Linked DNA regions of Drosophila melanogaster. The protein of the gene in region 2 interacts with the protein of the main gene of each other region in a pairwise test. Each region holds a gene or a part of one and is shown on either strand. Other genes may lie near its edges. The genes, in order: Abi and SCAR.

Region 1 (7,539 bases), on a different chromosome or scaffold from region 2:
TGAGTTTGCTTTTCGATCCAGGACAGTCTAGTGAGTGATAAAGAACACATACCTTTTAACTCACTCGCGACAATGGCCATCGACCAAAAGGAATCCAAATAAACATACCCATCGATGGGGATCTGAATAAAACAAAAGACCCGTAAGCTTTGACAAATGGTTATAGTTATTTTCTATACGTTCGATATGAAAACGAGGTCACAAAATAATACCACTGCTCATTAAAGTTGTTATTCAAGTGCTTGATGTATTATAATTCCATATGGTTATGGTATTTATAATCTTCATAATTGGAAAAATCAATTGCAGTGCAATCCAATCTTATATTAACCATATTTACATATTAAGTTCATATTAAAAGGAATTCTGAATTCCAAAACAAAGAGTCTTGTTAGATAAGCAAAAATTATGAGTATTTCCCTATTAAATCCTGCCAAGCTAACAAAGCCCGAGAAAGGCAAACCCCATAATGCCAGAGTGTAATTACCCACCAGGAGCATTGCGTATACGCAGTGGTGGTGATTGATGGCTTTTTTGACCTGGAGACGACTTAATTACCCAAAGCCATTTCCCTTGGCACACACTTGCCGGGTTTATTTTTAGTGGCCCATTAAGCTGAGTGACCAGCCCCCAATATGCATCCAAGGTGACGTCATTTTTGTAGTGGACTTTGAATGCAAGTGCAAAACTTTTAACCTTCACGGGGTTTTCCAAATTAGCGCGTCTCGAGTTTCGAGAAAGTTGTGCGTGTCACGAAACTTTGAGAATTTCGACATTAAGTGGGCCAACTTGTCCGCATTGACGAGGCAGGCGAATTCTTTACGCCATAAACAAAGTGGCCAGTGGCCCCAATCCTGACATGGAATAATGTAATATTTTACACTTGGCCAGCAAGTAAATCCGGCACCAAGTAGGTCAATTAAATGCGGTGCCCGCAGAGAGGAGCCACCCCAATCTCGGCTTACATTTCGATTATGTAAAACACACAAATGATAAAAACTTTTCAAGCACCTCTGCATCGCGGTTCACTTACAAATAGTTTTGTATTGCACTTTATCCGCTCGGAAAACTATTCCGGACACGCCACTCGCCAAAAAAAGAGGCTTAAAGTCAAAACACACCGGAAACACTGGGTCGCCAAGAACGTTGTGGAGTAGAATCCGAAATGAAAGCGACTTGTGGAACCATTCGCGTCGACGTACCAAACTCAACTGAAGCGTCCGACTCGGCCTGGTCAGAAAATAACGAAATTATAGGCATGTCCAGGGGGTTTGGAATGGATTCCAGGTTGGGTGCCTGCTGGGTGGGCGGTGTTTCGACTCCTGGCACGGCACAATCAACCAACTATTGTTGTTGCCACGTTTTTTTACTATGGCATTGTTCAAATGCTAATGCGCCATTTTGCATACATTCCTGGCGGGTTCCACCTGCCGCTGGCCAGTTGTGGGTTAAAGTAGTCGTTCAAAGAGTCCGTCTTCAAGCTGTTCAGGTCCACTCCAATAATTGTTCACAAATAAAGGTATTTCCATATTTATGTATGTATAGTTGAGGGGCCCAAAAAGTGGGCAACAATTTAGCACATTTTATGCAAATCATGCCAGCACTCCACTTTTTTCTGGCATTTCCGCCACGTCAACTCCTCGAAACCTGATAATAAATTTAGCAAATGGGTAAAAAACCTTCCACATATCACCACGAAAGCATTAATTTACCCGGAGCCGAGTTATGGAAAAGTTTTCCGGGACGAGACATTGAATTGAAATCGGTTTGTAGAGCAAAGTGTCGATTATAATGGATTGATTGACTGACTGAATGACCCCAATGAGTGTTGGCATTTGCAAATATTTCAAGCCTTCCATCACACGACTTGAAATTTGCATTTGAGATTTCGAATTTGAATTTGGCAGGCCACAGAGCCTTGCCCCAATTACGGATTTTTACTGACATCCGGGGCTCGACTCACGAGAAGGTCAGCGCAAATTACACGGTCATAGAACAAGGGCTTGCGGTTTAGTAATTGAAATTTTTATTAGCTATTATTTTTACCATATAGAGCGTATGTGTACTTGTATTGTTTAATTTAATTTGATTCCTTTGCTGGCAATTCCATTTTAACTAAACGTTCGCAAAAAAAAGACATCGTTGCGGTTCGTAAAAGTATAAACAAAAGTTCCAACTGGCCAATACTTAAGTATTAAATGCTAACTGAAATTTATATAACCTACAGTATTGCTGGGGGCATAGGTTCGGGTAGTATTGGTGTATAATAGCCGGGCATATCAAAGCGCAAGGCAAACAGAAATCGCTTGATAAAACTGTGAGCAAATATTTAAAGTATTTGGATTGGCGGCAGGAGCAGGACAGAATTCGTCTACGGTTGTGGAACAGTTTTATAATATCGCATAAGTTATTCACGGGTATCCGGTTTCACTTTCCCCTTCTTGCATCGTTTTCGGCTACTAAAGTGTAAATAGTTTTAGTTGGGCAGCAAGCGGTATCCCTAGCCCGTGGATTCTGTGTGTTTGTGTGCTCGTTTATATTAGACTAAATGCGGTTGGCTGATGCTAATGGAATTCGCTTTCTCTGGCCTGCTGTGCTTGTGTAGGTGTGTAATTGTATAATTGTCCTTATTAATATGCTCAAAATCTTATCGTCATTGTCAGCTGAGTCTGTTGCGGTCCTCAGTCTAACTCTCCGATAACTGAATTGAAATTTTTTGGAGCTCTTGAGAAGCAGCAGAGGACTGGAACAGACCAGATGATGCAGATTATTGTAATGGTTGGCATGTTTAGAATATCGATGCGAGGCTTAGACACAAGGCTCTACGTAGTTGCCCGGAAACAGACCGGTAACACCATCCATGACGCCCTCCCACCAGCCGTCGTCGTTTTTCTTGAGCACGTACAGCACTGAGCTTTCCTGGAAGCTCAGCTCGTCGTCCTTGTCGGCATAGTAGTCGTAAATGGCTACCACTGGAATGTTTGTAAGAATTAGTAAGGTATATTGTTAGTTGCTCCAATCAGCCTACCCTTCTCAATGAAGTTCTTGGGCACCCAGCCGGGTAAGTTCTGATCCTCGGGCACTATGGGCGCCAGCTGCGGTCCCGTCGATGTGCGTGGTCGTCCGAAGTCTTGATGCTCATCCTCCGGCGGCGGCGGAGGTGGCAAGGGAGGCGACTGTGAGCCGGGACGAGCGAAGTTCAAGCTGAAGTGATTCCTTTGGAAAAATACGCGTTTAATATACAAGATAACATATGAATTTCATGGAGTTATACACAGTACAAACACGAAAACCTAGTATAACTTTTTTTAGCTGAGTATAACCCTATGATAAACAGAGAAACATGCAATTTACCTATTTGGATTCCTGGATTTGCACAGAGAACAATAAATAGGTTATATTTACACAAAGAAGGGATTGCATTTTCCAGAAACTTACCTGTTGATATTGCGTCCCAAAGTGTGCATGCCAATGTGACTCTGCTCGGTCATCTCGTGCTGCGAAACCGTAAGTGGTGAAGGAGGAGCTGCTACGAATTGCAAACCGCATTATTAGTATTGAGCTATTGCAGAATAATCAAATTAACTCACGTGGCATGCTGCTGCGATCGTCGTACGTAGTGGGCGGCGGTGGTGGCAGCGATTGCATCATGCCCGCGGAGGGCAGGTTTACATGTGTGGCTATCTGCTGGCTGGGTGGCATCGGAAGTGCACTGTAGCCAGCAGCTCGTTCATTGCCCGCCGCTCCGCCGCCTGTGGTGGTGGTAGTCATCGTTGAAGAAGCCGTCGACATTCGCTTTGGATGCCCAATAGGATAGTTGGGAGCGTAGTGCGATGGCACCTGTGGTGGATTGACCACAGGCGGAGTGCGGTACTCCCGCGAACTCTTGCCCAGTGTCCCGGTATTGCTGACCGACTTGCCCAGTGTGCCAGTGTTCCCAGCTCGCGACATCTGCGGCGGAGTTGGGGGCTTCGTGGTTGGCGGAGGTCCCACCGACGGCGGCAATAAGGATTGCACGGACCCATGGCTGGAGCCCCGATGTTTCTGTCGCACCTGCGAGTGCTGGGCCGAGTTAATGCCGTGGCCAATCTCGTCCAACATCGAGTAGTCGATGGGCTTGCGCACATACTTGATGGGCTTCTCCGGATTGATGGGCGCCACGATCTTAAACTGGCGCGAGCTCACCTTGTTAGCCGTAAGCACGCCAATCTCTCTGAGAAAAGACAATGAAGATAATCAAAAATAATTAATACAAATAAAGTGAATTGAAAAAACTAAATAGTTATGTAGGAAAAGAATGAAGAAAGAGACGTTCAGTCTTATCAGCACGTCTGACGACGCATGTATGAATGTACATTTCTTCTCTATGAAGCTTTTATCACCGATGAGTCGTACTTACAGACAAAAATGTTCATTCCGTATTCTTTGTCGTTTTAAAATATGCATATCCCCTTTTCCTATTCTAGTTTAAGCAATTTGTTGTTCTTACCTCCTGGCCACCTTCTCCTTGTGGATATGCACCGTCTGGGCGATGTGGTTCATCTGGGACTCCATCTCGCCGAGCTGCTGGGCCTGAAGCTCGAGGAGCTGCATGTAGCTATAGGCGAGCGTGTTAATCTGGTAGGCCACGCTGGCCAGCGACTGGGTGGTGTAGTTCTTGGTGGCCTCCAGGGCCGCCTTCTTGTTGTCCGCGCGGTAGTAGGTGTCCTCGCAGTAGTCGGCCACCCGCTCCAGGTTCGTGTAGCTGTCCCGCAGACTCTGGCGGCCATCGGGGATCTCGGTGCGTATCAGAGAGGCTAGTTCGTCCATGATGTTCTCGCTGGCCATGGGGGTTTCGGTCAACATGGGTGTGGATGCTGCGGGCAAACGGGAAACGAAAACCCAATTAAATTCCTCGCTTTTCCGCACTTTTCACGCCCGTAAACATTTGGGGCGTGGGCTGGCCTCTGCCGACGTCGACGCCCAGCTGCTCCAGTTGATCGCTGGAGCGGTTTAATCGGACGAATCTCGCGTGCACTCACTTTATTGACTATGCGATTGCACAACAGATGCTTTTCCGGGCTAGTTGCTACGTTTTAAATGCAGTTAAATGCAGTTTTTCATTACATTTTCCGTGAAAAAAGAAAGAACGCTGGCCTGTGCTGCAAAGTACTGGAGCTTGAAGAATTTTTCAACACTGTATCAGTGCAGACACATTTGGTATTATTTTTGAAATGTATGTTCTATAAAACAGAGTGTTAAAAATTTTCCCAAAATTTAGTTATAAAAATAGCATTACAGTATCTTTTTAATTAATAATTCTTTTTTTTTTACACATTTAAAGCCGCTTTGAAGTGATTGCCAATCAGAATCGGTACATATTTCCCGGTTTAGTATTTCCCTACTCGCGCTTTGCGGTCACACTGGTTGTGAGTAATATATTTTTTCGGCAATATTAATTTTAGCTGTTGTCCAAATGTCTCACCAAACGGGTATCCGAGGTTTGTTATCTTTGGGAACCACCTAATCCGCATCCTTAGAACACCCTTTGTATTTTCAGCCAACGAGCAGCTGGCCAAGGTGTTCGGCAAAGCGAAGAATGGTAAATTTCGCGTGATAAAAGTTTCGATCGAGAATGGTGAGTGGATTTAATCCAGAAACGTATATACACAAGATATATACTAGGCATACGATTTGATAACGAACCCGCATCCGTTTTCACCCCGCCCCAAATTACAGAGCAGCTTAGTTGCGGCGCCACGGCGGAGACGAAAAAGGATTGGGAGCGCGACTACGACAAGCTTATAGGTCCCCTACTGGAAAAGGATGTGCCCTGCTATATTCTCTATCGCCTGGACGCCAAGATCCCGCTGGGCTACAGTTGGCTACTTATCAGCTGGACGCCGGACACGGCCAGCATCCGACAGAAGATGGTATACGCTTCCACGAAGGCCACGTTGAAAACGGAGTTCGGATCAGCATACATCACAGAGGAGCTGCATGCCACCACTCTGGATGAGTGCACGCTGGAGGGCTATCGCCGGCACAAGCAGGATTTCGCAGCCCCAGCTCCATTGACCAGCAGGGAGGAGGAGCTGAAAGAGCTGCGAAAGACAGAGGTTCACACTGAGATCAATACGAATACGCGGCACCAAACTCTGGGTGGGATCAATTGCCCGCTGAGCGAGGCAACCGTGGCTGCCGTTCAGGATTTGGTGCGCGGCAAGCACGACTACCTTCAGTTCCGCATCGATCTGGAGGAGGAACAGATCCATGTTTCGCGTGCGGCCAAAGTGGAGCTCGCCGATCTGCCGAAGCAAGTGCCCGAGGATCATGCACGATACCACCTCTTCCTGTTTCGGCACACGCACGAGGGCGACTACTTTGAGTCGTACGTGTTCGTCTACTCCATGCCTGGATATTCCTGCTCCGTGCGCGAGCGCATGATGTACTCAAGCTGTAAGGCTCCTTTTCTCGACGAGCTCGCGGCCCTTGGCGTGGAGGTTGTTAAGAAGGTGAGTTGATATGAATGCGAGTGGGTGTGGCTGCGCTAATAGCACTAAAGATTAGGGCTATAAAAAGCAAAAGCAGGGTATATATTGTTTGTGATTTATTTATTGCTTTCAAATCGCCACATTCACTATACTTTTGATTCACGATCTCTAGAAATATTTTGAATCATAATTAGGGCGAATGTCTCACTTTTCACTTGAAATAGAAATCTGTAAATCATAAATAATGAGTAATTTTAAATCATACTAAATCTGATTCATGTTTCTAACAACGTTTTACATTTCAGCTTGAAATCGACAGCGGCAGCGAGCTGACCGAAGCCTTCTTGCAGGACGAGCTGCACCCAAAGAAGATTCTACACCGACCGGCTTTTGCCAAGCCCAAGGGGCCACCAAACCGAGGCGCCAAGCGCCTCACGCGTCCCACCGCAGAGGACTAAGTCTGAATCCCGATCCCACCGAGTCAATTCTGTTTATCGCCCTTCTACGTACTGTTTCCTAGCAGAGCATTTAATTTATTGTATCCAATCGTTTATTTCTTTTGTGTTGTGTCTATCCCGTGTCTATATGTGTCCGTACGTCAGTCGATATCTTTAGAGGCACTAGGCATCAACTGAAACATCGCATAGCAGCCGCCAAAGTGGGCTTCCTTAAATGTATTCTTGTCTATGTAACTTTAGATGGACATATATGCAATTTATTTAAATTAAAAAAAGTAACTAAGTTCACACTGGCGTCTTCTTTAAGTCCTCAGGACTCACTTGATCGTGTCCAGCGATACATGTTCGGATGTTTTCTCGTCGTGGGCCTTGAAAAGCTCTGGGTTTTCGTCCTCTGTCAGTTTTTTGAACGCCTGTTGAATGTTTTCGTCGCGATCGAGTCGCCATTTGTACTGCCAGTAGCGAACCTCTTCCATCGAGGTCCCTGATGCTTTCATCAGCAGCAGCGACGTCACACCAGCCACGCCGCCCAAGAAACCTCCAATGATTCCACCTGCCGCCATGCCCCGCAGACCAAGACTCACTTTGTAAAGCGAGCCGGTGATGGA
Region 2 (9,875 bases):
ACCACACGAGTGCCAGCAGTTTGCCAGTACGCTAAGAAGCTAGCTACCCTCGTGGGTACGAACTTGCACTCTATTCCGCAAAACGCGCTCGAAAAGAAGTTTTATTATCTATAATTGGATATAATTTAGAATGGAGTATTAATCCTTACTAAGAGGCCATATATGAAACTAGCCCAGACATTTATACTTTTTCAATACTTTCTTACTTTTGCTAAGCACTTCAGCATTTATGACTAAATATTTTGTATTTGAAATGCATTACTGCTCTTTTTTCAAACAAAAGCAAAATTGAGGATTAAGATTCTGGTATTTAAGCATAAGACCAGAGGAAATTCCCAAACAAACATTTAAAGTTATCTATCAAGACATGTTCATTAATTTGGAATATAATTACTTTATTTTTTATTGTATATTTTAGTTTATGTAAAGAAAAATTACATACATCCATGTTTGCTTACTTAACCACACATTCATGGCTGCTTATATTCGTGAAACATATTTTATTAATTATACAGGTATTTAACTTTCACAAGGATAATACAATTTCATAGCTTGTTGAGTATACTGAAATGCTACGGAGTTCGATATATTTTAATGTGTTTGTATTTACAAAATTCTAAATTTTCATTTTGGATAAATGTTTTATATTAATCGTATCGATTGCAAGTTGGGGTAGGATTGAGTTCAGTGATAATATCGATTATTTATAATTTAATATCCAAACACCGACTACTATGATACAGAAGCCCATATCTACTCAGACCTTGACTCCAAAGAAGCGAACAAAATTAGCAAGTCTTTTAAATCGCTTTCCTTGGATTGTCGTCTAGGCTTAAAATGCAAATGCGTTCGTTCACTATAGCGATTAATTTAACGATAATTACTCGTTGGTGTATATACAATTCAATGAAACTTTTGATTTTAGACATATTATTTAGGATTAGGTGTATATTGTATAAAGGGTGGTAGAAAAGCTTTGGTGCTTTTGTGTAATCCAATTTCATACCACGCTTGGTTTCGACCATCGTATGGATTAATTCTCTTTGGAATTACTTCTTCTTTTTGTTTTTTAGAATTATGTCAGGCTTTAACGAGTTAATCAGGGATCAAGCCGATGTTTCGTTCGGTTCCATCCAGCCCTCGCTGTCGTCTTCGCTATCCGAATCCTCGGACTCGGATAATTCGATAGCCACACGTCTGGCCAAGATTGAAGCCACATCCAATGGCGCCGCGTTTCGTTCAATTTCCTTTTGCTCTGACTTTTCAACTTTACGTAGAGTAATACCTGGAAAGATTAATTTGATGATATTTTTGCATTCGAACCTTGAATGGCAATTACTTACCATCTCGAATGGCCTTCATCAAGTCGTTGCGTGGGTCATGGAATGGAGGCAGCATCTTCTTGGGTGCGACAATGTGAGGCACACCATTTTGTTGGCCGGGCTGCTGCATTTCGCCATTGGCCAGTGATTTGGGAAGAATTTGATGCGGGCGCAGCGTGTGTTGGTTGCCACTGCCCATGCCTTCCTCGACTGGAGGCGGTGGCGGCGGCGGTGGTGGCGCGGCATTAGGTGGCGACATCTTAGGCGAGTGCTGTAAGGTTTTGCCACAAATTAAACCAAATTGTGATATATTAACACCCATCAGTGAACAACAAACCTGATCTGGAACCGGCGGCGGTGGCGGCAAGTCGCTAAGGGAGTTCAGTTGATTGCCCGTCATACCGATGCTGTGGAAAGTATTGCTCAGTTGCGTCATGACCATATCATTGGCATTCTGGACGCTGTTGGGAGATCCAGCTCCCGACGAACTGTTCGCCCGGCCAAGCAGTTTGGCCGCCATATGCCCGCTGTTGACTCCGTTCATGCCAGACATTGGTGAAATGACGTCTGGAACTGGTGGAGGCGGTGGCAAGGCATCCCGACTGGTCGACATACTTCTGCCCCTTGTCGGAGTGTTGGCATTGGAGGCTGTGGGCGTACCACCACCGCTGCCATTCGATGGCGGAGCCGGTGGCGGCTGCGACGGACGCGGTTTGTTACGCGACGGTGTTCCCGGTCCGTAGATGGGCTCCGGCGACATCACTCCCTGTCCAGTTTGGCCGTACAGCGCATGCGACTGATACATTCCGGCGTCATACATCTGCTGATGCTGCATGTGCATCTGCTGGGGGCCACCCATGCCGTTGCCGAAGGTGGCAGCATACTGATTACCCATCTGCGGTGGAAGCTGCTCGTAGGTGCTACCATCGATCTGCTCCGACTGATAGCTTCGGTTCAATTCGATCGAGTTAGGACGTGGCGGACGTGTATCGTACACTCCCATATCTAGAATAATGAATGTGAGATATTAGAGCCGTTGACTAACCACCCATTAAAATGAACGTTTTTACAGGACACACATCTCATTTAAAAACACGCCAATTATTTTGTAATTACAGCCGAGGAACAATAAGACACATATGTAATTACAAGCAATTCCAAATTTCTGTGCATATGAGACCGCTGGACTCGAATAGAAATTTTGTTGAATATACAAACATCCGATTAAAAGTCTTTGTTAGCTCGTTGCACAGAAAACAATTTAGAGATACTTTCGTAGAATAAGATGTGGCGACAGAAAGGAATTAGTAAAGCTGCAGAGTGACATGTAGACGTAGATATGGAAATTGACTGAACTACAACAGAAAGATAGGAGGATCCTAAACAAAAACTGCGGCTCAATCACGAATCGCGAGTATGAAATGAATTAAAGTATTATGCAAAATGCAAGATGCATTGTAAATATAATGTGCACACACATTACATTAAAATTGCAAGTTAGAAGGTGACTAGTTTACAGTGTTTTGAGATAATAAATCTGCACTTTGCATGACCAATGAAACTCATAAATCATCGCCATTCCGATTGATAGTTTGAAAAAGAGAGTGTTCTCTGTACACACAAATGCTAAAGGAACTCAAAAAGGATTGCTAGTAAGGTAATATGGGGATAGAAGCGAGTGAAAGAACATATATAGTCTTTACTGAGCTTGCTAAAAGTGGATGTGGATGTCTAACCTGCAATCGCAACGGCGGTTTGCTTGGTGACATTACTGTTATTCTCCAAATGCGAAAGCATATTATAAGGCTTTACTGTATCTGTAAATGAGATGGTTATGCGCGATTGATCCATTCGTAATTGCAATGCATATTTATGTTCACGTTCATTAATATCATAACCGAAAACAACGAAAGAGTAGTTCATAAAAACAACATGCAAATAAATAAAAGCTGCGAAAAATAATCGACCATTCGGAGAATGAAATTGTAAGGTTCTCTGACCGTATTGTATTTACCATCAACAAGACGAACTTCATTGGAACAAAGTCAGTGAATTCAAATTAGAGACAAATCAAGTTCGAAAGTCTTGCTAACTTACAGGAGGATGAACTAGACTGGCCATAGACCATTTTGCTAATGGTGTAATAATAATGAATTAGATCGAATATATCCTGTATCTGAGATTTTAATCAAACTTTAGATGGAATTTATGTTAAGTACCATTTCATTTATTTTTTAAGCTCTGGAAACTTTGTTTCGGTCACCTTTCTCTGGGTCATGATTGTGTGGGTTAATTTCAATTAATAGCAACTTCAAAATAATACAAATTAGTGATCTTCGAACTGGGTTTTGAGGCGCATCGAAAACTAGCGAGCTTTTGAGTGAAGTAGGTGAATGAATGGCGGGTACATCTGTATCGTGGGATGTCTGCCGGGCGGAAATGAAAGCTACGTGGCCCCATCATCGTACCTACGTCTTGGATATTACCGACAACTTGGTGGTGCGCATCGAGAGTGCTATGCCGCAAATCGATGTCAGCCTCGCCCACAGTCTGTATTTTGACTAGCTGAACTACACGGGCAGACAGGACATAATTGATAATTAAAATAGATGTACCATTCAATAGGCAAGACAAGTGCAAATAGTCAGTGCGCGAAACGAACGTACCAATAACAGCCTATGAATTTGGTTCGCACTGAATACTTGGCTCACACGGAGACCAATCCCTTTCGCCAAGTACTTACTTCCGTATCCGGCTTCTTCGTTGACCATGGAATTCGGTGTGCGGTAGATGACGTTGTTGGGCATCAATGTTTCGCCGTGCACCAGTGCACGTTGTCGCTGCTGTTCGCGCGTATTGTGCGGCACCCTTATTTTGGTCTTCTGTTTCTTATTGCCACGTCCAGCAGCTCCGCCGGCACCGCCATCCTGCCGCGGTCTGTTCAGCTTCTTGCCCTTGTCGTGCATCACACGTTCGGTATCCTTCAGCATCTCCTGTCGCCACAACTCAAAGAAGTAGTTCGGATCCGTGTAGAACTTAAGACCATCCTTGCCATCGTCTCGATAGACATTAAGCTTGTCGAGGGGCGGCGGTTTGTCGCACTGGGCATATGTGTCCATCATTGGTGCCGGCATGGTGGCGCGCGAGAAGATCTGTTGATCAAAAACCTTGGCCGACTTGAAGGCCTTCTTTCGGGTAATGTCCGTCAAGGGCACCTCCTCAACTGTGCTGTCCAGCTGGGTAACTTTGATAGCTAGGCGATCGATGCGCGCCTGCAGGGAGTTAGCTCGATCCCCGATGTTGCCCACGTCGCGGGCCAGTTCACCGAACACATCCTCTGCGTGCTTGGACAGCGAGGACAGCTGGCGAATGATGTTCGTCAGCGTGGTGTTGGTGACCGTCTCCAGCTCCACGGATTGCAGCTCATCCTGCTGATACACGGAGCGGGCCACATGCACGGGTTCTATGGATCGTTTGGGCAGCGGCATGGTCGGGCGCGATTGACAATTATCTCCAAATTGGCAAACCCGTAAATTAGTGCGTCCTCATCGACTGAAAACGGCATTAATAAGTAATAAATTGTTTTAATACGAATTAATGCATTTAAAATTAATTAAATATAAAACCCTTTATTTACTGATTTACTACATAATCTCATGCCAAATTGGGATCAATAATAAAAAGATTTCTTTTTATGCTGATTATCAATTGAAGACATTTCATTCCGATAAAATTGTACTTCCCAAATTGTCGTTTAACTTTGTTTATAAATTTTCCCGTAAAAGTAGACGTTTAAAAAGTTAATTGGATACTATCAAAATTGGTTTAAAAGAAATTTTGTCATCACTATACTAAACCGTCTATGAACAAGACTCAGAATGGTATTGCAGAAGATTTCACGAGACGCTTATCCATGTATCCATGAGACGTGTTCATTACAATCACCAAAATGCCATTTGAATTGTTTTGTGATATGCGCGACTGACGAACTCGACGTCTGGACCACACCCCACGAAACGATACCCACAGCGAGGTGATAAGGGCGTAACGCCCAAGTCACCCCCGCAAGATGCACCTTGCAGTCCCGGCGAGATTAGTCGATAATGCCCCCCTTTTCGGTGGCAGTTTCTGGGTGCTACGACCTGGGGCCTTTACGTGGGCACCTATTCCATACGTGCATATACGTATATCGTCGGCGGCCTCCCACCAACGCAAATTAGACCGTCACGCACTCACACACACGCATGAACCGCAGCAGCAGCAGCACCCAAGTAAATGTACATACATATGTGTGGGACGGAACGGCTGACTCTTTCAGATTTTCGCACTGAAACATTCGCACTAAATCGCAACAATGCACACACAAAGGTATCTCTCACACTTTCTAATCGTAGTGGCTGCTGCGATTTTGATTTTGGTTTTGAACGGCGCAGCTTAGTTTTACACAGTCCACCTCACTTTACAGCATATCGTACACTCACCGCCCGTCACACTTTTCGTTTGGCGGCTGGCACCACAACAAACATTAAGCAGCCACTTCCGTTTCGGGGGTTCGGTGGCAAATTCGATCCGATGCGAACTCTAATTAGCCAATTTGGGGCTTGAAAACTGCAAATATTTGCTCGTTTTGTGGAAACTAAGATTTCCACACCTTTGCAGTGTGACCGAAGCTTTGTGGTTCGAAAATACTGCAGGGATTCATCATTTCGGAAAATCAGACAAATATACTGCACGATGCGGTGGGGAAAAAGTTATTTTTATATTAAATGTAATATGTATTTTAATTACTATATTTAAATAAATTTTGCAAGGGAATTTTCAGTAACTCATTTCATATTGTTTATTTACTGTATAGAATGAAATATTTTAAATATAAATATATATTCAATTTATTTTATTTTATTTTAACTCTATATTATCCATAATAAGCTATTTTATTAACGTTATTTAAAATTACTGTTTGCAGTTTCTTCCATTAACTTTAGAAATGTATATTTGGTATTTTTGGTATTTATCCGCCGATCGATAACTAGTGCTCCAGCCCTGGCCCCAATGCATAACATCTCTGTTTCGTCGCACACTGAATAGGTAAGTTTTCCGCACATTTCGTTGATTTCCTCTTGTATAATTCCAACTGCTTGCAGAACCAAATTGAAAAGATGGCGAGTTTGGCTACCAAGGGATCAGGACTTGTGAACAGTGAGTGTCGTGAATCGAATGCAATCGAATGGATACACCACCATTGGCGCCTGTCAATCGCAAAATTATGTAATGATCACTTTTTGCAGGGCTCCTCACACAGGCGAGGCCCCAACTGGACGTGTTCCTGAAGTACGCCAAGGTGGAACTGACGCCCCCGACGCCCGCCGATATTCCGGCCATTCGCCAAGGACTGGGCAACATCATCAAGGGAGCCAAGACCGGCGCCTACAAGAACCTCACGGTTCGCGAGGCCTGGCTTAACACCCTGGTGACCGCCGAGGTCATCTTCTGGTTCTACATCGGCGAGTGCATCGGCAAGCGTCACATTGTAGGCTACAATGTCTAAGCTTACTATAGTCTCCGCTTGGCAGTCACTGGAATGGGCAACGTAATCCCTAACAGATGTGTATATTTATATGTCTGCGAACATTTCGACTCTGAATAAAGTGAAATAGTAATTTAAAATTCCGAAAATTTTCGAAAAATACATTGTTTTTTGAAAACCGTTAGAACGTTTGCGCGGGATTTGTGTAAGCTAAAGATGAGGTGATGTAAAACCAAGTTTGGAATTAAAAGTTGACGATATTTAATGATAAAAATTAAAAAAATATATGTAATGTTATACATCAAATGTTTATGAAACGGTGTCGTAATCAAAGAGGCTAATGGTTCAGAAATACATAATATACTTAGAGCATTTAAAAGCACTCAAGAATAATTTTATTTAAAAAAAAAAATAAATAAATCTAAATTTGCTTTTCATAGATAATTCATTTACACATTTTTTTAAACAAAGTAAAGTAAGATGTATTGAATTATTTTATTTATAAATAACGTTTTTTATTTGAATCTTGAAAAGCATTAATATTATTATTATTATACTTATATTTTTTAACAACAAAACTTTTGTAGACAGAGTAAATTTTTGTAATCTAACTGCGGTCACACTTTACTTTAGTTACCTTCCGATCGGAAGAAGAACCCGGCTGACATTAGGAATAGGAACTTGGCAGAACTTTCCCAGGATCTGTCAGAATGGCCTACAAGAAGCGCCTACAATCGCAGAACCTCGTGCATCTGCTGCAGAACCGCGAGTCCGGATACACCAACGTGGGCCAACAGCCGGGCAGGATGCCGCTGTTGGCCTACGAGCGTCTCTTCTACAAGTGCATCACGCCTTGCCTGACAATTGACTCGATTACCATTCCGCCGATCTACCTGCGCAAGTTTACGCCGGATGGCAGAAAACTGTTGGCCTTCTCGCAGGATCAGCGCAGTCTGCTCATATACAGCTACGGGGGTTCTAGTTGTGCGGCGGTGGGTGAACTGATTCGCCAGGCGGATGTAGGCAGTGGCGAGTGCTTCAGTAGCCAGGACACCATACTCAAGAGCAGGATCTTTGAACGCCTGTTTCCCACAAAAGAGACGCTGAATCTATGCCAAGGCGACTTTGGCCTCTACTATCTGCACCGGGAGTTCAGTGTGTTCCTGGAAGAGGGTCGTTATGCCATGCTGGCTGCCATGACCGTTGTGCGCGGCGCACTGCCGGTCGATGACTACGTACGGTACCCAGATCTGTTCGACAAAGTGGACGCCTTCTCGTATGTGTTCTTTCTGGTGGATTTGAAGCTAGGCGTCGTCACAGATAGACTTATCCTGCCTAACGACTCCATCGTCATTGCCCACAATCATGGAATTTCCGTGTTTGGCTCAACAGTGATGATGATGTCCCGGCTGCATCAGTGCGTTTACGTCTATTGGGTGAATGACGGTAAGTTCCACCAGCAGGAGACTATTGGTCCCAGGCCGAGGGACTTTATCGAGAAGGCTACCACAGACTTTGACAATCTTGACGCCACCACAGTTTTGCCCATAACGCACATTAAACAGCGCGTCCTTAGCTTTCTGTACCGTAAAATTAATGATAAAAGTGGCAACCCGACGGAAAGTCAGAAGTCGTTTTATAAAAACTTTGAGTATGTAAGTAACATTATAAAGAGTGACAACGGTCTTCACATCCTTACATATCTCATTTAGATAGAACACATGATCATGGAGAGAATGCATCTGGTGAACAATGAACTTCTAATGTTGCGCTATGAAGAGCGGCCAAATGGTACCGATACCATGCCCATGGCTACATCACCGCGCCGCTTGTATGTATTCTACACCATAACTGGCGAAGAAGTGGTTGGCGTTTATCCGGAATATTCCGTCAACCTGCTGCAAATCTTACTGCAATTCAATGACTACATGAGCAATGATCGATCGCTGCAATTCGGTGATGCACCTTCATTGCCCATGCATTTTTTCCTAAGGCATACCTTTGCGGATTCCAATGAATCGGTCTCCGTCGATCGACATACGGCCTTGCGCTTCAACCCCAGCGTTCCACTCAGCTCCCAGAGCCTTTCCTCGTCGCCCTATCTAAAGTTCAACGAATTTAGATACGACAGTCGGTACGTGTCTCCTCTGGAGCAACCCCATCGCTGCTGCAACGATCCTATTGTGTTTCTTGACCGTGCCACGGATTCAATCAAGTTTAGACTGCACGCTACGGCCCGCCGGCATTTAAATCCTTTGGCGCCACGGGAATTGTGCGCCTTTATTTGGCATCCCTTTGACCCACTAGTGCTCAGTATCCAGAAATGCATGAACAGCTACGTCTACCACGTGCACTTGTATAACCACAGCACAATAGTGGAAAAGTAGACTGCCTAATATGTACATACATGATTTTGTACATTTGTGTATAAAACATATTCAAGTACCTTTTATATTATGAAATATATGTGATACTAAAATATCTCGTTTTACCTTTTCAGTAATGTCTTTATTTACAATGGTAAGAGAACATTTCTTTCTTTTATTTAATCAAAGACTGTGAAAATTGTGAAAATTCCAAGTACTGTTTAAATCTTTAATTCGACTTTGCTACATTGTATTGAAGGCCGACTTGAAACTTGAGGCCCAATCCGACGTTTAAAGTTTCATGTAACATTGTATCTCGACTGCGACTACGTTGAAGATTGGTGGTGACCGTCCTCGTTGTATTCCTTGTTGACCTTAAGGGAATGATTAATAACGCTCGAGCCGCCTGGAGGATAGTTCGGGGCAGGCCCTGATCCCGGGCCGCTGGCAGGCTGCTGTGCCTGAGGCTGATTGGGGATCGCATTTGGGTTGTTAACTGGATTCTGTCCGGGAGCCCCCTGCGGTGGATAGCCGCCTGGATATCCGGACGGGTCGGGTGGATACATTGATGGTGGCGGAGCTTGTTGCGGGTGTGGCGGTGGTGGTGGTGGTGGGGGCATGTACAGATTGTAGGGATATGAAGGATAGCCTCCCATTTGA

The links.
Region 1: the proteins of SCAR (region 2) and Abi interact in a two-hybrid assay, tested with the Drosophila melanogaster proteins (2 studies listed by BioGRID, with this or other methods).

What each region holds. Positions count from the first base shown.
Region 1 is NT_033777.3:14,117,257-14,124,795, forward strand, and holds Abi (abelson interacting protein), read right to left. Parts: upstream 5,165-7,539; 5' UTR 5,022-5,164; intron 4,994-5,021; exon of another isoform or gene 4,857-4,993; 5' UTR 4,846-4,856; coding exon 4,490-4,845; intron 4,214-4,489; coding exon 3,591-4,213; intron 3,530-3,590; coding exon 3,439-3,529; intron 3,367-3,438; coding exon 3,355-3,366; intron 3,217-3,354; coding exon 3,029-3,216; intron 2,973-3,028; coding exon 2,809-2,972; 3' UTR 2,006-2,808; downstream 1-2,005. Other genes in the region: twf (twinfilin), read left to right, coding at 5,456-5,480, 5,540-5,617, 5,719-6,494, 6,779-6,931; 140up (upstream of RpII140), read right to left, coding at 7,249-7,539.
Region 2 is NT_033779.5:10,972,897-10,982,771, reverse strand, and holds SCAR (SCAR), read right to left. Parts: upstream 6,001-9,875; 5' UTR 5,702-6,000; intron 4,875-5,701; 5' UTR 4,811-4,874; coding exon 4,066-4,810; intron 3,893-4,065; coding exon 3,791-3,892; intron 3,140-3,790; coding exon 3,059-3,139; intron 2,328-3,058; coding exon 1,660-2,327; intron 1,594-1,659; coding exon 1,344-1,593; intron 1,286-1,343; coding exon 1,107-1,285; coding exon of another isoform or gene 1,050-1,106; 3' UTR 377-1,049; downstream 1-376. Other genes in the region: piwi (P-element induced wimpy testis), read left to right, coding at 1-114; ATPsynG (ATP synthase, subunit G), read left to right, coding at 6,482-6,521, 6,611-6,870; abo (abnormal oocyte), read left to right, coding at 7,560-8,504, 8,562-9,236; CG16743 (uncharacterized protein), read right to left, coding at 9,542-9,875.